Xenopus tropicalis: one gene and its partners. The protein of the gene in region 3 purifies or fractionates together with the protein of the main gene of each other region. This does not show direct contact. Links are inferred from orthologs where the notes say so. Each region holds a gene or a part of one and is shown on either strand. Other genes may lie near its edges.

The links.
Region 1: the proteins of e2f1 (region 3) and sirt1 purify together in Homo sapiens (affinity purification with western blotting; 3 studies listed by BioGRID and IntAct, with this or other methods). This does not show direct contact. The link is inferred for Xenopus tropicalis from reciprocal best matches to the Homo sapiens genes E2F1 and SIRT1.
Region 2: the proteins of e2f1 (region 3) and rbl2 purify together in Homo sapiens (affinity purification with western blotting; 3 studies listed by BioGRID and IntAct, with this or other methods). This does not show direct contact. The link is inferred for Xenopus tropicalis from reciprocal best matches to the Homo sapiens genes E2F1 and RBL2.
Region 4: the proteins of e2f1 (region 3) and skp2 purify together in Homo sapiens (affinity purification with western blotting; 6 studies listed by BioGRID). This does not show direct contact. The link is inferred for Xenopus tropicalis from reciprocal best matches to the Homo sapiens genes E2F1 and SKP2.
Region 5: the proteins of e2f1 (region 3) and kat2b purify together in Homo sapiens (affinity purification with western blotting; 5 studies listed by BioGRID and IntAct, with this or other methods). This does not show direct contact. The link is inferred for Xenopus tropicalis from reciprocal best matches to the Homo sapiens genes E2F1 and KAT2B.
Region 6: the proteins of e2f1 (region 3) and psmd14 purify together in Homo sapiens (affinity purification with western blotting; 3 studies listed by BioGRID). This does not show direct contact. The link is inferred for Xenopus tropicalis from reciprocal best matches to the Homo sapiens genes E2F1 and PSMD14.

What each region holds. Positions count from the first base shown.
Region 1 is NC_030683.2:38,239,864-38,244,045, reverse strand, and holds the start of sirt1 (NAD-dependent protein deacetylase sirtuin-1), read right to left. Parts: upstream 2,835-4,182; coding exon 2,486-2,834; intron 465-2,485; coding exon of another isoform or gene 351-464; intron 1-350. UniProt on the Homo sapiens protein: NAD-dependent protein deacetylase that links transcriptional regulation directly to intracellular energetics and participates in the coordination of several separated cellular functions such as cell cycle, response to DNA damage, metabolism, apoptosis and autophagy.
Region 2 is NC_030680.2:49,421,795-49,425,339, forward strand, and holds part of rbl2 (retinoblastoma-like protein 2), read right to left. Parts: intron 2,959-3,545; coding exon 2,821-2,958; intron 2,293-2,820; coding exon 2,128-2,292; intron 625-2,127; coding exon 516-624; intron 1-515. UniProt on the Homo sapiens protein: Key regulator of entry into cell division. Directly involved in heterochromatin formation by maintaining overall chromatin structure and, in particular, that of constitutive heterochromatin by stabilizing histone methylation.
Region 3 is NC_030686.2:41,701,458-41,705,303, reverse strand, and holds the end of e2f1 (transcription factor E2F1), read right to left. Parts: intron 2,249-3,846; coding exon 2,004-2,248; 3' UTR 531-2,003; downstream 1-530. UniProt on the Homo sapiens protein: Transcription activator that binds DNA cooperatively with DP proteins through the E2 recognition site, 5'-TTTC[CG]CGC-3' found in the promoter region of a number of genes whose products are involved in cell cycle regulation or in DNA replication.
Region 4 is NC_030677.2:198,008,196-198,011,740, reverse strand, and holds part of skp2 (S-phase kinase-associated protein 2), read right to left. Parts: intron 2,674-3,545; coding exon 2,562-2,673; intron 2,296-2,561; coding exon 2,152-2,295; intron 1,196-2,151; coding exon 1,061-1,195; intron 408-1,060; coding exon 309-407; intron 1-308. UniProt on the Homo sapiens protein: Substrate recognition component of a SCF (SKP1-CUL1-F-box protein) E3 ubiquitin-protein ligase complex which mediates the ubiquitination and subsequent proteasomal degradation of target proteins involved in cell cycle progression, signal transduction and transcription.
Region 5 is NC_030682.2:45,629,684-45,633,228, forward strand, and holds part of kat2b (histone acetyltransferase KAT2B), read left to right. Parts: intron 1-873; coding exon 874-963; intron 964-2,429; coding exon 2,430-2,611; intron 2,612-3,545. UniProt on the Homo sapiens protein: Functions as a histone acetyltransferase (HAT) to promote transcriptional activation. Has significant histone acetyltransferase activity with core histones (H3 and H4), and also with nucleosome core particles.
Region 6 is NC_030685.2:72,340,107-72,344,205, forward strand, and holds the start of psmd14 (26S proteasome non-ATPase regulatory subunit 14), read right to left. Parts: upstream 2,815-4,099; 5' UTR 2,786-2,814; intron 2,760-2,785; exon of another isoform or gene 2,723-2,759; intron 1-2,722.

The DNA of each region.
Region 1 (4,182 bases), on a different chromosome or scaffold from region 3:
TGCAAAGAGAAAGCCACCACTTTCAAGAAAACAAGACCACAAGATGGTCAGAAAGCTATCAGCAGAATGTTTTGTAGCAGGGATTCTGTACCAGTTAATTTATGAAGCCCTAATAAGAAAGGTCTCAGTGGAGGTCACCACAAGTGTCCAACATAAAAAAAATTTGTGTATTTATTGTCTAATGTCCATTGGTAAGGCTGTAAGAGGAGAATGCTATAAATTTATCAAACTCAAACTAATTTTTTCTAATATAGTAAGGATAATTCTGTTATAAACTAAAGATTTTGCTAGCATGGTTATTTCTTTCTACTAGGCACAACTAGGCCTATAACAAAAATAGGCATCTTTACCTATACAGGGCCTGGGTGCCCAATCACTTGAGCTGGCATGAGATGCACCATCATCATCTTCACTGTCACAAGAATGAAAGCCACCAGCAAGATCATCATCCAGATGGATACCCGCTGTAAAAGAATTCAGCCAAGGGGTTTAAAACAAGGCATTTTCTGAAACAAAGACTGCACCAAGAACAACGTTTTCTATCCAATACACAAGTACATTTTTGTCTTTGTGGCAAAGATAACACATTTTGTAACAATTTAATAATCACTCTCAGTGAAAGGGTGTAAATGAGTGATGAGTGGGGTCACAAAATACACTTTTTCCTGGAACTCAATCTGTTAGTGACGTCACCAAGGTGGAGGCTCACAGAAAAAGATGATGGTAGGTATAACAATACCAGCACCTGGACCCACCAGAACCAGCAACCCAAACTCACCTGACCAGAGGACAGTTGATTTACACATCACTAGTGGAAATTTTAAATGTTTCGTCCACACCTCCTGAGTTGTTACTCATTGTGAGCAAAAAACAATGGGAACTGCCCTGTGTGCAGTGCTGATAATGGGAACTCATTCCCCCAAACCCTAGCACCCTCAACTAGCCTCCATTAGCCAACTCCCTGCTCCCATTCCACATGGACAATTATGCTAAAAAAGATCACAAAATGAGCAGATCTTCACCCGCTGGTCATAGGTGCTGTCAGACAATGCATCCCCAATCAGAAAACCACACCTGTCCCATCGAGATCTGGACAATTTAAGACTGTCAGTCGTGTAGGCCTGAAGGACCCGAATCGGAAGCTGAAATACCTGTGTATGGCCAGCTAAAGTGCTGCCCCAGTAGTATGGAGGCTGGAAAAGCACAGAGACAGATCAGGGAGTGGCAGTGAACTTGGCTCACCACCCACAAATTGCAACCCCTGGGTTATGCAGGTTTTAGGTCGACCTGCACTGTTGTGAAACCTCCATAAAAATGCAGAGTACCGTAGAGGAGATCATAGGTGCCATCTTCTGTTTCTTCAGATCCTCTTCATGCAACAAATCCACAATTTTTAGGATCCGGCCAAACCCTGAATCCTTTGCAAAAGATTCGGCCGAATACGGAACCGAATCCTAATTTGCTTATGCAATCTTCAGAATCTTGCTGAAAATGGCCGAATCCTGTATTAGATGCATCCTTGCACTTCACAGAACCTCCTTGCACTTCTTCAGAACCTGAGCAGTTGGAGCTACTCTGGGATCAGCTTTAACTATGCATGTCCCTCAGGCTCTGTGTCAGCAAAGTGAGGATACAAAAAGTGATGACTGTGACTCCCGTTACTCTGCATTTAATGGCAGGTTCACACACATGGACACTTTTAAATGTAACTTTGTGGGGCTAAAAGAGGCCAGTTAAGGAGCTGTTTTGGGGAGGCTGAAATTTCCTTCAGGAAGGACCCTTAAGTTTCTTTATCCTACCAGTACAAGGACAGTTAATGAGCTCTATACAGCCTATGTGTAGATAGTTAAGGCCAAGAGAAGGCAATAGCCTCCCTTTTGGGAAAAATGCCCTGAAGGGAAGAAAAGTAGTGATGTGCCTACATTTTAGCCACATCCAAGCCATTCACAGCCTGGGTTTGTACATGTGTAGTTGAGTAAAGCTCTTTGACTTGCCTGCTGTAGGGATTCCAAAGAGAAGGTAAGTGAAGATTTTACCCTGGGCTGGTGCATTTTTTTCTACAAAGGAGCAGCGGCCCAACTATAGGGTGTAAGCATAACTTTTAAGCTTTCTTGGGCAGGGCTCTCTTCACCTGTTGTATCAGTTATTGATTGCTTTATATGTTACTCTGTATGTCCAATGTATGAAACCCACTTGTTGTACAGCGCTGCGGAATATGTTGGCGCTTTATAAATAAATGTTAATAATAACTCACTCACATATACCATTGCTAATGTTTTTAAATGGAATATATGTTCAAACTTGGCAAAAGCACCTTCATTTGTATGGGTCAGTATTAGCAAATGGAAGGGAGAGAGGAGTAGCACTCTATACCCACTGATGCGCTGAATCGCCCACATTACTGCACTGAAGAACCTCCAAACACCTACAGAATATGCCCCGCCCAATGCCGCTGTTAGTAGGGAAAGAGTTAAAGGGAACCAACCTCCGTAATCAACAGCCTGATCCGACAGGTCTCCATTGGGCATCTCCTCGGCTCCGCCCTCCTCCTGGCCTTGTACCAAATACGTTCCCAAAGGAAGGCCCTGAAAGCCCGAGCCATTGTGCGCTCTGGATTTGCTTTCCATTGCCGAAGAGGCCTCGCCTTCCTCCTGGAGAGAAGCAGCTATAGGCGGCAATGCCGCTTTTCCCTCGCTTTCAGCCCCCACAAGCTGGCTCCCACCCCCGCCGGTATCTTCCAAGCGCTGCCTTTTGGAAAGGGGCTCGCCATTTTCTTTTGAGACAGCTAACACAGCGCCGGCAATGGGAAAACCTACACGATCTGAGTCCGCCATCTTCCCACTGCCAGAGAAGGAGTCGCCCATCAGCTGTACGATGGAGCGCAGCGAACCACGTGATACACCGTTTCCTATTGGTTCCCCGGCCGTGTGACGTGTACAATAACAAACTAGCCACTCGCATGGTACCTGGGGATGCGCTGGCACCGCCACAACGAACGGAGAGGGTGTTGGAAAGCGAAATCGGCAATAAAGTGTCATTTTCAGGGGTGTGTTGGTGTGGTGATTGTCAAGCCCGCAAAGCCTGTTAGCAGATACAAAAGCCAAAGGAGAGGGGCATTTTTTATAGTCCGTGTAAAAACTTTCTCTTGAAGTTGTCTCATGTCTAGGGGGAAAAGAACTGGGGAGATGCTGAAACCATTTTGGCGTCATTAATCAGTGTAGGTTAATAATATTTGGCTTAAGCATCATTTTTAGAAGCTCTGTGCATAACACATTTGTGGATGTAATTTGCCGAAATTGCCTTAAGAGGAAACTTGGGGCGACTTTGGCAAATTGCTGCGCATTGTATGCCACCCCACCAGCGATTTAAATTGTAGCCAGTGGGATGGCATTGCGGGGAGATTAGTCGCCCGCGACAAGGGAGATTTGTCACTAATCTCACCATGTGTCCCTGCCCTAAGGGGAAAGACACATGGAGCTACTAGTAGCAGCTACTTTTTCAAGGTTACTAAACTCCAGAGAATCCCCTGCCATAGACAATACTGAGAATTGCCAAAAAAAACACATAGAGACGGTTATCAGTAAATGATCAGCATTGTCTAATTTAGTAGCCACTACAAGTAGCTGCTACTAGTAGCTCTGTGTGTCTTCACCCTAAGGGCTCTGGCACACGGGGGAGATTAGTCGCCCGCGATAAAACTCCCTGTTCGCGGGCGACTAATCTCCCCGAGTTGCCTACCCCTGCCATCCCACCGGCGAACATGTAAGTCGCCGGTGGGATGGCAGACGCAGCGGGGCAATTTCAGGGAATCGCCGAAAAAGACTCGCGAGTGGGATGGCAGGGGTAGGCAACTCGGGGAGATTAGTCGCCCGCGAACAGGGAGTTTTATCGCGGGCGACTAATCTCCCCCGTGTGCCAGAGCCCTAAAACAGAATATGAACAACTAGAATGGCTATAGAGCAGTGCTGCAGTGCCGAGGGCCGGAATTTCTCTAGCATACGTGGTGGAGGGCCGCTAATGGAAGCCAGTTTTGACCACTCCCCTTTTTGAAACCACACCCACTTCAAACCACACACATTTTATCACAATGGTGGTAGCACAGCAAAATCCCAAATGCTTGGTGCTTACTGTGGGGATATCAACCATCATTCATATGTGAAAGAATTATGTCATATTAAGATA
Region 2 (3,545 bases), on a different chromosome or scaffold from region 3:
AAGTGCGACTGAAGTTTGTCAGAGCACAGGTCACATGGCTGGGAAATTAAGAATATGGCTAGCCCGATGTGAAATGTCTAAATTAAATATAAAAAAAAATTGTTTGTGTTTTTGAAAAATGGATTTCAATGCAGGATTCTGCTCTTTTAACTGATAAAAACGTATGTTTTCCCATGACAGTATTGGTCAAAATCAAGATGGGACATGTCTGTCTGGTTAGGAACATCAACCCCCATATTTTTACATGAAAATGCATATCTTTTATAATAAAATAGGTTTATAACGTAAAACAACTAATAAGAGTGTTATCACAAATGTCTAGGTCCAGCATCTCTATTTGAACCTACTACTGAAGTATAAAATAATGTGTCACTGGGTATTAATAAACTACTGTAAGCTCCACTGGCACAGGGACTGATGTGACTCATATATAATATGTGTAAAGCCATGTGGCTCTATAAACAGCTAATAATAAATATAAACTGTAACACACAGTCAAGCCTCTTCTTACTTACTCCTTCCTAAACCTGATGCATCAGCACGTATTTCGTTTATTCTTCTTGGAGTAAGAGATCCTGTGGTACCATTGTCACCAGATTTTTCAAAATGCTGGGGATGTAAGACCTAAAACAAAAGAACACAAACAAATTCATGGATACAAAAAAAATATTAAATAATTATTAATAATAATAATAATAATAATAATAATAATAATAATAATAATAATAATAATAATAATAATAATAATAATAATAATAATAATAATAATAATAATAATAATAATCATCATCATTGAAAAAGATTATGCTGCTCTATGATATCAGTTTAAACTTTTCAAGAAAAATGGCACAGAGCCGTGTGTTTTCAAGTAAGTATACAGGTACAGGATATATCATCTGGAACACATGGGACCTGGGGTTTTCTGTCATTTTGGAACACCATACCTTAAGTCTGCTAAAAATCATTTAAACATTAAGTAAACCCAATAGGTTTGGTTTTGCCACCATGCTACTAATGTGGATTTATGCAGCTTAGTTAGGATCAAGTACAAGGTACTGTTTTACTATTACAGATAAAATTAAAAATCCTTTTTTAAATTGGAATTATTTATTTAAAATGGACTCTATTCTAGATGGGCATCCCATAATATACTATGCACCCTGCAAAAAGCACCACTTAAAAACTTGGGTTCATCCTGGTGACATCTCTGCCATACCTGAATGCTCACTGCATATATGCATTTGCCCTTCTGGGAAACCAGGTACAAGTATAGGACCTGTTATCCAGAATGCTCTGGACCCGGATTAGGATCCCGGATAAGGGATCTTTCCATAATTTGGATCTTCATGCCTTAAGTCTACTAAGAAATCATTTAATAATTTAAACCCAATAAGGATTGTTTTGCCTCCAATAAGGAATCATTATATCTTAGTTAGGATCAAGTACAGGTATAGGACCCATTATCCAGAATGCTCGGGACCAAGGGTATTCCGGATATGGGGTCTTTCCGTAATTTGGACCTTTATACCTTAAGTTTACTGAAACACCAATAAAACATTAATTTGTTTTGCATCCAATAAGGGTTAATTATATCTTTTAAAAAATCTGAATTACTTGATTAAAATTGAGTCTATGGGAGACAGGCCTTCCGTAATTCTGAGCTTTCTGGATAATGGGTCTCTGGATAAGGGGTCAGATACCTGTACAAGGTACTGTTTTATTACTACAGAGAAAAAGGAAATTAGAATTATTTTCTTATAATGGAGTCTATGGGAGATGACCTTTCCGTAATTCGGAACTTTCTGGATAACGGGTTTCCAGATAAGGGGTCCCATACCTGTACTAGGTAACTCCCAGAAAACCCAGTGATTTGACTGCTATGCTACAGGAAAAGCATCATAAGTTGTAGTTTATGGTCTTATGAAAACTAGGGTCTCCATTGACGGCAAAACCATTTAGTGTTGTGTCATCATCTTGAATTACATGCTGCAAACCACTTGATATTTAATAGGGCAGGAAAATTTCTACAATATAGTGCATGCATACAACTTAGACAGAATTTGTGCCTTTTTTGGTAATTAGCTAAAGAAGATATAAACAATAATGTGCACATTCTCTGAGCTGTACCTCCTCACACAGTGGGATCTTTCCATCATTTTCTCTGATCTTGTCCCACAAAGGTGAATCATGCGTCCATGCCATGCACTCCAAAATCTGTTCCTCAATGTTGTTAAGATGCTTTACCACTTCCCGGCACAGGCCTTCCTCTGCTTTAATAACAACTTCAATAACCTGCCAAGTAAATGTATTCTTGGTTCTTACTGATTATTTAGGATGCCATGGCACTGTTTTTTTTTCTCATCATAGTAACATAGTAATACGCAAGTCTAATAAGCCTAACCTTTCGTGCCTATATATAACCTGCCAAAACACTAGTTGATCAAGAGGAAGGCAAAAAAAGACCCTTTCTGAAGATTCTCCGATTTGACTCAGAGGGGGTAAAAATTCCTTTCTGACTCCAAGATGGCCAGCAGCAAAACAAATGGAAGCAAGACAGGATTATTGGTGCTAAATACAAACATAAAGGTAGACAGATACACAGACAGGTAGATGAACAAATAAACTAAGAGGGACATTTATCTACAAATGCAAAAAAAAGTAGAGAAAGTAGTCTCCCAAAAATCAAGGGATCAATGAAATTGAACCTTTCCACTTAACTACCCAAATATCAATATGGTTTTCATAACCAAAAGAACAAAAGTGTGAAAAGTACCAATAACCTACACATTTATATTGTACCGATATTATCTACAAAAGTACCTTGTAAAATTGATATGGTGCCAGCTCAAACATGACAATTATACTGGGGAAATTTCCAGGAGGCTTGTAGGAAAATACAGTGATTTCAAGGCAGCAAGACATCAAGGAGCGGTGGAAAACATCTTGTTCTAGAATACTCTGCAAATAAACAAACAAGAGCAAAGAAAATGAGCCAGTTACATCAATAAACCATGAAAAAAATTCACTGGTCTTTGGTTATCATTTAAAGGGATATTGTAATTAAAATTAACCTTGTTTTACAGTATATCCTCACCATACCCAAACTTTACATGAAATATTTTCTTGGATGTACCAGTTAAAAAGATCTCGTGAATAACAACTCATGGCACATCCTTATCGCCAGATTTGCATCCAGTCCCTCCATAGGCACAGCTCCCAGACCACTCCCTCTACTACCTAGTCACTAAAGCCTCAGCACACATGCAATAGCCTTGTACTGGGGTACCCTCTCCCAGCTCAACCACCAGATTTAGCCACATTTGTCCAGGGCAAGCAGGGAGTTTTAAATGAGAAGGAAAGGTAAAAACTAAGTAAGCTTTATCAGAAAGGTCTATGTAAATACAGCCATAAGAACTCACATAAAAGCTGCACTAAGTCCTCTATCAAAAGAAACACAGGATTTCTTGTCTCTTTTTTTGTAAACATGTTCTTTGGTATCTGACTGCCTCTCTCAAAAAAAATCTTCATTCCTGGGGCCAGAGTCT
Region 3 (3,846 bases):
ATATTACACAAGGGCAATGGCATAACTAGCATACAACTGGGTGGCCAGACAGGCGCCATATTTGCTCCCCACAGATGCTCGTTGACCCAAGTATGAAAGCAAAGGGATGGGAAAGGTTTAAAGTTTCACACTGCAGTGGAAGATGGGAGCCACTTTTGCCCTCCACCAAACCCCCCACTCCCTCACCCATAATGCCAGGGCCTGGAAAATGTATCTGCATTGGGCCCTGCCTTCTAATAGTACACCGATGATTATACATATCATTTAGATTTTACAGAAATTCTGGAAGATTTTGGGGGCACATGAACATCACCAATGGAATAATTCTGGTAAAAAGAACATGGGGTCGGGGACAATGTAACCAGATGCATCAAGTGAGAGGGGGGTTGTCAATAGCTTGGCGTCACGTCATCTTGTTTTTTCTGTGTTTCGCACTGTTTTCCTTTTCTAAATAAAATGTAATAATTAAAAAATGCTGTGAAACAAAAACAATTAAGGATGTGAACTTAAGATGATTTGCTGTAAACCGCTTTTTGCTGAAAAGTTGTTTTTTTTTATTGGCAATGAAAATAGATTTATTGATAAATTAAGCTAGCTCAATCAAACACACTGATCCCGTCTGCTCTTCAATTCAGAACAGCCCTCAATTAAGGGAACAAAATGAAGAAAAAAAAAAAAAGTTAACTTTTACTTTACTACATAAACTCGCTTATAAATACAACTTTTAAGGGCAGTTTTTAAGTAAAAATATACGCAAACAACCAACTTACAGAATAATCCCCCCCAACTCTTTAAACCTTTTTAGCTGTACACTCCAAATCAAAAGCTTCAGCCTGGTGCATTTTTATATACAAAATCTGTAACTTAAGTGATCAACATAATAAACAGCATAGGGAACAAATTATATATTATATAAAACCACAACACTATAGAACACCGGCAGCAAGCTGTTTGCACGGGGTGTTCGTAAGGTTAAAGGAAGGGACAACAATGCTGCTGGGATTTAATAAATTAAAACAAAATGTGTCACAATGCATACTACTTCCTCTATAAGGATGCACAGGAAATGCCAAGAGCGGGGAAAAGAAATAGGGGCGGCCCAAAGCTCTTCATTCAGAGAAAGAATGACACGAAGACTGTCTGTGCTGAGAGCTCTTACGTACTAACATACTGAAGTGGTTAGGCCATCAGCAACCAGTTCATCTGCTTGAAGGTTCATTATTAAAGCCTCACTTTTCTCCACCACCCACACCAAGCCCTTAACCCCTCTGAAAAACATTTTAAAAATGCATCATTTCCCCCATACACACACACATATGGGTAAATATAAGTGCTAAGACCAGACTATAACCTCTCGTTTCTTGTTTAATCTTCTGCAGTAGGGAGAGAGGTGTGTGTGCGTATATATATATATATATATATATATATATATATATATATATATATATATATATATATATATGGAAAAGGAAGCACACCATAAGAATGCGATACCTAGGTGCCAGAGCGAGGAATCAAATATAGTGTAGGTTATATAGTGTAGGTTGTCAGCACTCATAGGTTTTAAGTAATAAAGCAAAAAAGGCAACAAATAGAAAAATCAAGCAGTGAGGTTTATTTGTTCCGATGTTTCAGTCCTATACAGGGACTTTCGATCCCTGACGAATGTCCCTGTATAGGACTGAAATAAACCTCACTGCTTGATTTTTCAATTTGTTGCCTTTTTTGCTTTATTACTTAAAACCTGAGCGCTGACAACCTACACTATATATATATATATTTATTACTCACACACACATTTATTTTGGCGCTTGATTAGTAATACAAATTAACATCTCCAAAATCGATTTTCTTGCATTACAAACATGAACCTCCAAAAGGAATGTGGACCATAGGAATATATAGCCTTATAAGACAATTAGGAACTGGAGCAGCAATGAATGATTATTGGTAATAGGTTCTGTGCTAGACAAAAAAAAAAAATATCCTATTCAGGCACTATTTTACAAATCCAGAGCTGTGAGGCCACTAAAGTCACAGTCGAAGTTGAAAAGTTCTGCAGCACCCTCGCAGGTTTGCAATCCAAAGCTGTACTCCTGTGATGAAGCAGGAGACAGGCTGATGAAGTCATTGGGGAGAAAGTCCGGCATAGCATCCCGGTAGTCCAGGAGGAGGTTAGAGGGAGAAAGTGGGAGACAATTCAAGGTAGAATCAAGAGGTATTTCATTCTCTGGTGGCAGGAACGGCTCTACAAAAAACATGACAAGTAGGTTATATTAGTGGAGTGAGAAAATACAGGGTTATTGATAATAGCTCTTACAACAAGTTGATCCAGGAACTGGTCCAATTGTCATCTTGGTGTCAGAAAGGAAATTTTTTACCGCAACTGAGGGAAAACTGGAGAAGCTTCAAATAGCTTTGGGTGGGGGGCTAAACCCTTCCTGAGCTTAGGAACTGACCGGCAGTGAGAGTAAAGGTGGCCATAGACGTTAAGATCCGCTTACTTGGCGAAGTCGCCAAGTGAGCGGATCTCCTCCCGATATCCCCCACCAACAGGTGGGCGATATCAAGCAAATCCAGTTGTTTGGCCGATTGAACGAACGAATTAGAACGATGGTAATAGGACCGATCCGACTAAATTTTTTAACCTGCCCGATTCCAGGCCAGATGTTGGTCGGGTAGGCCTGTCGTTAGTGCCCCTACACGGGCCAATAAGCTGCCGAATCGGTCTAAGGGACCGATATTGGCAACTAGAATCAGCCTGTGTATGGCCACCTATAGAGAGAGTGTGAGTGTAATAAACAATAGAGGTCATCAGTATTATTGTATATTATTGCTGCTGAGATGTTCTGTGACAAAGTCTCCACCTCGAGTTGCAGGAACAAAGAACATGAGCAGGTAGGATTCTCATTGATGGATTACAATATAACCATGATATTATTAAACTACAGCTCCAAATGCACTTGATACCGTGATGTTAAAGTAGGCTGGAATTTGTAGCAGCAAGTCAAGTAAGGTGTAAGTAATCAACATGGATGTTGGTCTACTATGTGCCAAACAACAGACAAGATACTTCTATGTAATGCTAGCCATTCAATAAAGCTTTGAAGCCTATAAATGAAAAAAAAAAACTGCCACTTTCCAGCACATGATTTATTAAATCCCCAGTTCCACAGCAATGCTTTTTAGATCTGCTGTTTTTGTCAACCAAACATTGCACCTTAAATTTGCAAGCTCTGGCCTTACTTTGTAGTGCCACCAGAATTTGACCTCATTAGCCGAGACTGATTAGTATAGCCCTTGCTAAATGGTAGGTTTGCTTCTCGTTTAGCAGCCTGACTCTACAGCAGCAGATTTCCATGCAATCTGAAGCAGTTAGATCGGATTAAAGGAATAGTAACACCAAAAAATGAAAGTGTATAAAACTAAAATATAATGTGCTGCTGCCCTGCACTGGTAAAAGTTGTGTGTTTACTTCAGAAAGTCTACTATAATTTATATAAATAAGCTGCTATGTAGCCATGGAGGCAGCCATTCAAAGGAGAAAAGGCACAGGCACATAGCAGATAACAGATAAAACACTATTGTATTCTACAGAACTTATCTGTTATCTGCTATGTAACCTGTGCCTTTTCTCCTTTTTCCAAGCTTGAACGGCTGCCCCCGTGGCTACACAGCAGCTTATTATATAAATTATAGTAGTGTTACTGTAGCAAACACACCAGTTTTACCAGTGCAGGGCAACAGTGCATTATATTTTTATTACTTTAAAGCTCTTTCATTTTTTGGTGTTACTGTTCCTTTAACAGATTACTTAGACCAAGTTTGTTTGGAGACTTTGCTTTG
Region 4 (3,545 bases), on a different chromosome or scaffold from region 3:
CAAACAAGCCAAGGCACACATACACGCTAGGCCCCATCAGCCAATGAATGGGCAGAGTTCTGCCTTTTACTCCCACACTACTTCCTGTTACAGTTAGAGCTGCATTATTTCCTGTCAGCTGATCTCTGAGGGGGCACACAGCCCATCACTAAATGGCGGCTCAGGGGAAAGGATGTAAAAGGGCAATATTTACTGATATATATATATCAGTTTGGCGAGTTTCTTTAATAGGCCACTTAACATAGTAAAAATTATCTGTTGATTAAGCATTCATTCAGGGGGTATAGTTTCCTTTAAACAAACCTTACCTGGAACAGTTGGTTAGCATTTCCTTCAGTGATTCTGAACTGAACCCTGAGCAGCCGCCAAGGTTTAATCGGATGAGATCTTCATTCTGGGAAATGGAGCTGAAATAAGAAATGACGGTGAGTTGCAGCGCCGGTACATATTTGGAAACATGAGTGCAACTGCCAGCCAAAAATATGTTACTGGGCCATAATCTCTACCGGATACATACCTGGAGCAAACTATATTAAAGGGCCATATGTCTATATTTTTTGTAATTGTTTCTATGGCTTTGCTAAAAGGGGTACTTTACCTTTAAATTCACTTTTAATATAATGTAGACATTGATATTCTGCATAAATGTGCAATTGGTCTTCATTTTTTATTTTATGGTTTTTATTTGGCTTTTTGTTCAGCTAGTCTTATTTACCCTAGCAACCTGGCAGTAGTTAAAACAAGAGATGGGAATATGAATAGTAGAGGGTCTGCATAGAAAGATAAGTTATAACAATATTATTGTAGCCTCACAGAGCAATAGTTTATGGCTGCCAGGGTCAGTGACCCCCCCATTAGAAAGCTGGAAAGAGCCAGAAGAGGAAGGCAAATCATTATTTTTTTTTTATAGTTGTGCAACTTTTATTCCATTACCCTATAAAACTGTAACATTAACCTGTATAGCAGATACATTTATCCTGCTACACTTCCACCGGAGGAGGAAACCTTAAGGCGGTGGTTCTAGCACTAACCATAACACATAGCTGTAATACTGCCTTACCGGGTTATATCGTCGGACAATACCAGTCCCTCCAAGCTCAGGTTCTGCAGTTTGTGACAGCGGGAGAGGATACTCTGAAGAGCACCCACGCTGACTGTACTGTTAGAAAGGTCCATGTGGAGCAGGCGCAAATGTCTAAAAAAAAAAAGAGATAAAGGGGACCATTATACCAACCAATGAGATTTTATTATTAAATGTTCGGGATGAGGGAACAATGGAGATCCCATATCTAAAAGCCACCTTGTTCTAATGGTATTTGCTTGGCAAGGATAAAACAGTATTCTCCATATTTAAAGATGCACTGGCCACTGGGGTGCGCTGTTTCACTGTAGTCTATGGGCAATGTTCGAGGAAGAAGTATGTTGGTCTAGAACAGATTATTATTATGGAAGACACAGTATCTTTTCCCTTATGCATCCTTCCCCCTTATGTGAGGGGCGCCGGTGGAAAAAGAAAGGGGAAATGTGGGAATAACTTATTCCTCAAAAAATAAATAGAAAATAATAAATATTTACCCATAAGGATTTATTAGGCCTCTAAATGGTGCTGGGCCTGGGGGTAACTGTATTTATAGAAAAGATGTTACAATGGACAAAAAGCAGAAGGAACTGGAGTGCAGAGAGTATGTGGGGGTTTACACCCAAGATCATTATTGTTAGAAGCCACTTACTGCAACAACGTAGGTCGCACATGACTGTCATTGTTGCTTTCAACTGGGCATTTAGCCGGCAGTAAGTGTCTATAAGGAATGCTCTGATTGGATGGCATATCATCTGGCCTTGCCTTAGCCTAAATATTTTACACCCTCTAAAGCTGGCCATACACATTCAAATTTCAGCTGCTGATTTGGATCATTAAGGCAGAATTAGCAGCTTATCTGCACACGTATTGCCTCCCTGACTGATATCTGGCGAAAATCAGCCAGGTGTCAATCGGGCAGCATTGATTTACCCATTGGATCGGGGACTCCATCAATGAGCTGATGCGGTCCACGACCCAATTGGTAAATCAATCCTACCCAATTGTGCTCCCTATGCACACATTCACTGGCCTGTTTAGCAGCCATGTTAAGATCCATGATGGACACTTACCTAGTCTTAGTAAACATTGGCTCGCCCATGCAGGATCTGGGGCAGCGAAATGTAACCACGCCCAGAGACAATACTCTTCCTATGATTCCATCCGCCAAGTGTTTGCCAGTAAGATCCAGGCTGTGCCACAGGGACTCATCCGTTCTGAGGGCAGAGGGGAAAGGTGACAGATAAATTAAGGGGTCACAGGGTACAACTGCTATTAAATTGCTGCCAGACTGGCAGTCAGGATATTGTTAAATGCCAAAGGGGCTACTGTATATAAGCTGCCATAGACTGGTGCTTTATACTCTGAATTTGTGGCCTCACTGAGAGCCATTTATGTGCCACTGATACCAATGGAGCGGTCTACAGGGCACAGACGAAACACACAGTAAATGCATAAAATGTCATTATAAAAAGGAACTTACAGAAGTCGGTGCCATCGCTTGCAGACCCGGGCAGCTCTCAGAAGGTCAATGAGATGCAAGTAGTTAAAGATGCCCAACAGCAACTCATCAGGCAATGTGTCCCAGGAGATGACTGAAAAGGAAGAGGTAGACAATGAATATCTGCAACCTCAGATAAAGACTAAGGATCTTGATGTTCCATGCTACATGCAATGGCTTTTGCAGCTTGGCAGTTGCCCTTGCTTATGATCAGTGCCCCTTGCTGCCCTGCTTGCTGGCGCTCAGAGGAAAAGTTGCCACCTTACCACTTCAGCTAATTATTGGCCCATGGGTGAAGCGCTCAGAACCGCTTGTTCAACAAGCCTCTGGCTGATACACACTAGCCAGAAAGCCTCAGCATTTCCCCAGCCCAAACAGTGAGCAAATAAAGGGCACCGGGCAGTATAAGCACTACCCCGGCATATGGTGCTCCCAGGGGTTGCGACAGGGCAGGAAGCTGGGGGGAGCGGGAATGGGATCAGATACGGCTGTCAGTCACAGCATGGGAGCACTATAAGGTGATAAAGCCATTGTTGCCTCTTTCTGCTGATTGCCTAAAGGTGGCCATACACGCACCGATATTATCGTACGAAACGTCGTTTCGTACGATAATCGGTGCGTGTATGGTATGTCGGCGAGTCGACCGATATCGCAGGAACCTGCTGATATCGGTCGACTCGCCGATCGGACCAGTTGGAAAATTTTGATCGGGCGCCATAGAAGGCGCCTGACCAAAATTCTCCCTTCAGATCTGAATCGGCAGAAGGAGGTAGAAATCCTATTGTTTCTACCTCCTTACCTGCCGATTCAGCCCTGAATGGTGTGTGGCGGATCTTACGATGTTTCGTGCGACCGATCGTCAGATCGCCACGTGTATGGCCACCTTTACACACAAGCGAGAAACACAACTATAACACAATTTGGCAATAGTGCTGGATAGAAAAACAAACAAAAACAAACTCAAAG
Region 5 (3,545 bases), on a different chromosome or scaffold from region 3:
TGATAGTTGTAAGGCCTCTTTATTACTTACATTAGACAAGCAGGTATGTTGGACACAGATGTCTAACCCTGTATTATGGGACTACTAAAAGGCAAATTTTCTGTTCAGGACATACACCATATTGTGGTGCACACAAATAATTTTGTACTAATTTTAGCCACCCACTTTTCCTCTTTTGTTTGCGGGTACATACCTCCCTACATTTGAAAAATGCAAAGAGGGACAACATTTTTGACCACGCCCATTTTTGCAACCACACCTCCTAAAATACCACTCCCATTTTACAAAATATAGCAGGTTATTTAAAGTTTGAACACATTTCTGGGGGTTTGGGGGTCTTGTTGTGTTTTGCAAAAAAAAACAAAAAACCTGTTTAGCTTATTAGTTACAATTGTATCTAAGTGCATGTGTAGCTTCTTAACTTTTCTGGGCTTTCTGCCAAAAGCTACTTTTTTAATTAAGTTTGAGAAAGATTGTATCTTTTTTAGCTTGAGGGACTTTTTAGAAAGAATCTGGGACTGCGGGCTAAGCTGTCAAAATTGGGACTGTCTTTTGAAAATCGGGACAGTTGGGAGGCATGGCCCGACTATAAGGAAATTGTGGGTAATGCTGGCTCTCATGTTAGGGTATGTCAGAATAAGTTCAGCTCAGTGCACCATGGGTAGTTTTTTCTAAACCACAACTGTTGTTAAATACTACAGCTCAATACAAAACAGTTGCCAACTTGTTTGGAAGTAAAAACAGGGAATGAAATTATAGCTGAAGAGAGCATTATTTTATAGTCATGTGTGGGTTTAGAGTTACATTTTATTCTATTGCTGAAATGTATCTTACCAACTAAGAATAAAGCATGTACATACTTCTTCTATTCAGCTTTTGAGGAAGTGTATCCTGCAAATGGTGAAACCTGCAGTGGAAGGATCATTGGGTTCCCCTCCATTTGAGAAGCCTAGTATTGAGCAGGTAATGGGGATCTGACATCTTTTCCTACCTACCTTAGTTTTTTAATGTATGTATATTTGTATTTCTTTTTGTACTTATCAAAGTTCCAGGCTGTTAATCAGTGTCTAATTGTTTATTCCTTAGAAAGTGGTGTTTTCTTAACAAGGCAACTTTTGGAAATCTTGGGCTGTAGAGGGATGTATATCACTGATATTATTTTTTAGTTATAAAATGTCCTTTTCATAGCAACTTTGGTCTTTATTATTATTTTTTTGTTATAGATTTTGAATTATTTGCCATTTTGTTCTCTATCTTTCCAGCTTTCAATGGGGGGGGGGGGGGGGGGGTGGGTCACTGACCCCGACAGCCAAAAAACTGTTGTTCTGTGAACTTACAATTTTATTATTTTTGTTACTTTTTATTACGTAATTTTCTATTCAGTCCCTCTCCAAAACATATTTCAGTCTCTCATTCAAATTGTCTGGTTGCTATGGTAAACAGGACCCTAGAAAACAGCTGCTAAATTCCAAATAACTGATAAACCAAAAGGAAACAAAATTAAAAAACAAGTGCAAATTATCTTATAATATCATGTCTACATCATACAAAAGTTAATTTAAAGGTGGACAACCCCTTTAGTGAGCAGTGACTACATTGGGAACACTCTTGTCCTTACATTACATATTCGTGTTTTTGGACCTTTTGCGATATAAACACATAACCAATGGCAAATCTGCAAAATCCTACATTATTCTCTTTTAGTAGATATAATAATGTGTGTTGCTTTAGAAGAAAAAATCCAAAATTTTCTGACAATGCTTTTTATGTCATTATAACCTTATTCTTCTAGAATGATAGTGGGAAGAATTCCTAGTTCTAGGTCACTAAAGTGTTTAAAGGGCAAATATAACTACCATCTCTCATTCATTTATTTTCTTTATAGTCAATTTAACCTAAGTGTGCTGACTGAGAACCCATTCTCTGCATTCTGCACCACACTATGAAGCTACCACATGCCATGCACAATAATTTAACAATGTACAGTAATGACCAGTTTTCAGTATTGGCTTATTAAAGCCTAAAGGTGGCCATACATGGGCCGATTTTAGGTGCTGATATCAGTCCTTTAGACCAATTTGGGGACCGAATTGGCTAGTTGATGCGCTTCCCGAACCAACGTCGCCTATGCCTGCCGTTTTAATTAATTGAATTACCCCGATATCGCCCACCTGTAGATCTTACAGTGTATGGCCACCTTTACTGGGGCATCAGTATCTGGATGGCAGCCTTAATTGTAGCCAAGCAGAACTGAGCTGATCAGCAGCAAGTAACAGAGTCTGTATTACAGAGCAAATTACTTTCTACACTGCTCACGTTTTTTTCAGGCAGGGGTCAAGAAAACAAAATCTGTGTTATCTTCTTTCTAGGTAGTCTGAAAACATGAAGACTATATTCACTGTGCATCTCTGTATTTACTTTCTTTAAAGGGTGTAAATAATTTTGTACAGTACAAGTTCAGCCATTTGCCTTCCAAAGAAAGACAGACTATCATAGAGCTGGCTAAAATGTTCCTGAATCGCATCAACTACTGGCATTTGGAAACTCCCTCCCAGCGAAGACTAAGGTCACCAAATGATGATATTGCTGGATATAAGGAGAACTATACAAGGTACACTCTTCTTAATGCAATAGTAATGGGTATCTATTGCTGTTGTGTTGCATGCAATCTCTATGATTTGTGGATGTGCATCGTTTGTCGGCTTTGTGAAACTGAAAGACTGCAACAGAAAATCTGAAGTGGTTTGAACTGGCTGCCTGAGTAAAAGACCAAATTATTATTTCATGTGACCTAATTGTGGATTGTTGCTTGCGGGGTGTTGCCATATTTATTAAAGTGGCAAGGCCAAGGGCTTACACTCTATACACAATATTTCAAGGCAAGTACTTCCCTCTATCAAGTTCTTATCTATTCTTGCTATTCTGGCTGTCTTATGCCACACTAAATGACTGAGCATAGAGCCCTGGACAGGTGAAGAGGAGTCACACAGCCTACACTTAACAACAGCTAGAACTGAAACAAAGAAATTGCTCTTTGTAATGAACAAATAGCATAGACCTGGTATAGGATTCTAATCTTTTGACTGAAAGTTTACTTGCTGGTAGGGCAATGGCTCATGGGGAGATTAGTTGCCTGCGGTTAATCTCGGCTACCGTGGGTGACTAATTTCCCTGAAATACCTTTCCACAGGCAATAAAGTAAAATTTCCTGCAAGAGGAAACTTTAAGCGACCTCAGAAAACAAAGCGATATGTATGCCTTCTCGCCGGCGATTCACTTTATATTTGGTGGGAAGGCATTTTAGGAAGATTAGTCGCCTGCAGTAGCTGAGATTTAACTGATCTAACTAATCTCCCCATGGTCCATCAGCCTTAGCTTTTTTATGCTTATTTATCAGTGCCTTAATTACAATAAAACTTGTATTAATTTATAGTAATCTCAATGACCATAGGGAGGGGGTGCAATAATGTTAAAGTTTTAAAGGTATAAAGGTATAAACTATTTTATATGTTAGAAAAATTGAACACGCACAATAAAAACAAGCC
Region 6 (4,099 bases), on a different chromosome or scaffold from region 3:
GCATATAGGCCACTGTAGCTAGGCATGTGGTCACAAAATCAAGATTTCCTGCCAGTGTGACAGGGCCCAGAGGGTTTACTTTTAGAGACGCTGCTTTTCCCTGCAGGAAAGTAGCAATCGACCAATTAGCCCAGTGATCCCTAATCAGTGGCTCAGGAGCAACATGTTGCTCACCAACCCCTTGGATGTTGCTCCCAGTGGCCTCAAAGCAGGGTCTTATTATTGAAATCCAGGTTTGGAGGCAAGTTTTGTTGCATAAACAACCAGGTGTACTGCCAAACAGAGCCTCCTGTAGGCTGCCAGTCCACATAGGGGCTACCAAATAGCCAATTGCAGCCCTTTTTTGGCACCCCCATTAAGTTTTTACATGCTTGCATTGCTCCCCAACTCTTTTTACATTTGAATATAGCTAACAGGTAGAAAAGGTTGGGGTCCCCTGAATTAGCCCATTCAGTCTGAGAATTGAAATGGCAGATTAGCCAATTTGGCTGCAAAAGTTGGTAGGCCAATGTTGTATCACAGTATTTAAAATTTAATGCAACCTCTGATCACAGTTCAGCTTGTTTGAACCCCTAAACACAGGCATGCGGCACCCATGTTGGATGAAAACTGTTCATCAATATCTGGTCACATACCCAGCTTAAAAGGAGAAGGAAAGTTACAATTACTGGTGCCAAAATGTTAGGGTTAGGCACACCCCCCTCCCCTAGTGATTGTAATCACTTCTACCTGTTAGGAGAAAACTGTACCAGCCCGGGGAAGAGAAACACAAGCTTATACCCCTTCCGGGTGCAGTTTTCTCCTAACAGGGGCACAGTCCAGGGGTATTAGGTAAGCAATTACAATACATAATATTTGGCACCCCACCAGTGACTTAGCCTTTCCTTCCCTTTAAAGGAGAAGGAAAGGCTAAGTCACTTGGGGGTGCCAAAATGTTAGGCACCCCCAAGTGACTTTAATCACTTACCTCGTACCCTGGGCTGGTGCCCCTGTTAGGAGAAAACAGCACCAGCCCGGGGAAGCAGTATACCACGTTTCTTCTGCGGCGAAATCCCTGGCCCGGCGCATGCGCAGTAGAGTGAAAAGTCGACTTTGTTCGGCTTTTCACTCTAATGCGCAATGTGCCAACGCGGAAGGAGGAAGCGCTACAAGTACCCCGGGCTGGTGCTGTTCTCTCCCAACAGGAGCACAAGCCCGGGGTACAAGGTAAGCGATTAAAGTCACTTGGGGGTGCCTAACATTTTGGCACCCCCAAGTGATTTAGGCTTTCCTTCTCCTTTAACTGAGATCATGGGGACAGTAGACCAACACATCACAATGACACAACATTCTCAATGGCAATGCATTTCATATACAAGAATAACATGTACATACAGTTAAAATTGGGAATAGAGATAGCACAAATTAAAAAAAAAAAAAAAATGTTGACTTCACTCAAGAAGACACCATAAAAATAAGGTATGGCTCTCTAAACGTAAATTGCCCCAGACTGGCCCCTATGAGCCTGCTCCATTTTCTTGACTGTGGTAGATTTTGTGTCAGTCCCTCTGTGTGAAGTTCTGAATGGGGATGCAGGACTAAAGTCACAGGTGGAAAGGCCCAAGAAGTTGCAAAGGGCGCGAGACCGGAATTCAAAATGGAAAAGCAGTGAAGGTGAGGAATGTATAACTGGCCACATCTGAAGTTAAAGGGGAACTCCACCCAAACACAAATGCTTTTTGAAAAGTAAACATAATTTCAAGCAACTTCGCAATATATATCAGTTAAAAAATATGCAGCCTTTTCATGATTTTTAATGTAATAATATGGTTTGGAACAGTTCCCTAAGCCCCGCCCCCTGTTCCCCTGCTGATCTGGCTGACTACTTTGTGACTCAAATAAAATGTAACAGTAGTCGCCTGTCCCCAGCCTGCATCCTCCCAATCCCATAATTCCCTGCACACGTGATGTCAATAAGGAAAGGAACATCACAGTGCAATGCATTGTGGGTTATGTAGTTCCTGAATGCTGTCTGTAGGCTGTGGACAAGTTGTTACAATTTGTAACATCAGTGTTTTAGTCCCTCCTCCCCTGCCAGGATTTCAAATGATGCAGAAAGAGAAGAACTGTTTTGCAGCTGGATTTCAGCATATAGAAATGGCATTTATTCATACTGTTTGAATGAACAGATTCAACTGGTTTGTATTACCTATTCAGTGTCACTTTGAAAAAGTTGGAATGTCGATTCTGCCTCTTTTAGCCCACAGCTGAAAATGCTATTTGTTGGGGGTTAACTGCTCCAGTAATAAAAACAAAAAAAACACATTGCCTATGAAGATTCCATTGAATTGCTGCACATATTCTTCACTTGCTTGTCTTTCTATTCATCTTTCATTCTGGCTGTGTAATGGCGTCCTGGTTGCTAGGGTAGTTAAGCCCTAGCAACCAGATGACATTTGAAAATTCCAAGCCATAGAGCTTCAGGAACAACCAAATACCCAACAAATTATTAAAAACTCCTAAAACAAAAGACCAACTGCAACCAGCCTTGGGATACTGCTGTCTGTATCATATCAGAAGCTGATGCTATATTGGCACCAAAAAGAGCCCTGTAATGCTGTGGGGCCCAACGCAAAGGCCATTGCTTCACAATGCCGGCAGGATGAGTGTGCAGTTCTCACCCGAACCAACTCCTATGCTTCTCTTAATGGTCAGCGGCTGAACAACTAAAACATGTACATACTGCCCAAGAGTCCCGCAGTCCCGATTTCCTTAACACGGCCCGTAGTACCGAATCGCTACTTACACAATGCCGGTAACAGCAAGCAAATTCTCTCCTGTCTCACGGGAAATCCCGTCGCCACAAGTCTCATCACGCGAGACTGAGGCGTCACAACTAGACGTAAAGGCAGTGACGCGGCACGTAGCCGCCTTGGGGGCGTGGCGTGCAGACACGGCGTACCTCACATTCAGTATCTGCTAGTAACAATTCGCGGTAGTTTGTGTTTGTGTCAAGTTGCCAGATATTCCTGCCGCCACTAGAGCTTTAGCTCCCAATATCAGTCAGATTTTTCCTGTGCCAGGGAACTAAATAAAGAGACTTTTTTTTTCATTCTCCCCATTTGACCGTCAAGGAAAGGTTTTGTTTACTAGGGCACGGCGTAAAAGGGAATTTTCCACAGCTGAAAATGCAATTTGTTGGGGGTTAACTGCTCCAATAATAAAAACAAAAAAACTCATTGCCTATGAAGATTCCATTTAATTGCTGCTCGTATTCTTTATTTGCTTGTCATTCTAGCTGTGTAACCACTTCCTGGTTGTTAGGGTAGTTAAGCCCTAGCAACCAGGTGACATTTGAAATTCCAAGCCATAGAGCTATGCCTGCTGCCACTAGAGCTTTAACTCCCAATATTACACCTGCAGTCATTTAGATTTTTCCTGTGCCAGGGAACAAAATAAAGAGGTTTTATTTTCCTTCTCCCCATTTGACCCACAAGGAGAGAGGTTTTGTTTACTAGGGCATGGTGAAAAGGGGGAATTTCCTATCATACTTACCGTAAATTTCTTTTCCTGGCTGCTACACATGTAAGCGTAAATACCCCTGTAGTATTGCAGACATGAGGTGGCCAGGAAATAGGGAAATTTCCTATCATACTTTAAATATGCTTTCTTGGCCATTACTCATGTCAGCAGACTACAGGGTATTTACAGTAGTATTTCTGACATGAGGTGGCAAATTTATTTATGAGGGTCACATGGTGTTTTGTAAACAAAGGCTGAGACAATAAAATTTACGGAAAGAGTTTTAGGGGCATGGCAACTAATCTGCCCAAAATGCCATCCCACTGGCAAGAATGTATATCGCCAGTGGGATGGCATATACGGCGCTGCAAATAAATTTACATTCTTGCCAGTGGAATGGCATTTCGGGGAGATTAGTCAGCCGCTACAAGGGAGATTTGTCACGTGGCGACTAATCTCCCTGTCTGCCATGGCCCATAGGCTGTTTTTTGTTTTTTTTACGGTGGCATCAGAGGCTGTCAGGGTTGCCATCTGTCATTTATTTGACCCAGACAGCCCAGTTTTCGGAAGGGCCGTCAGGATCAAAACTGCCTGTCCA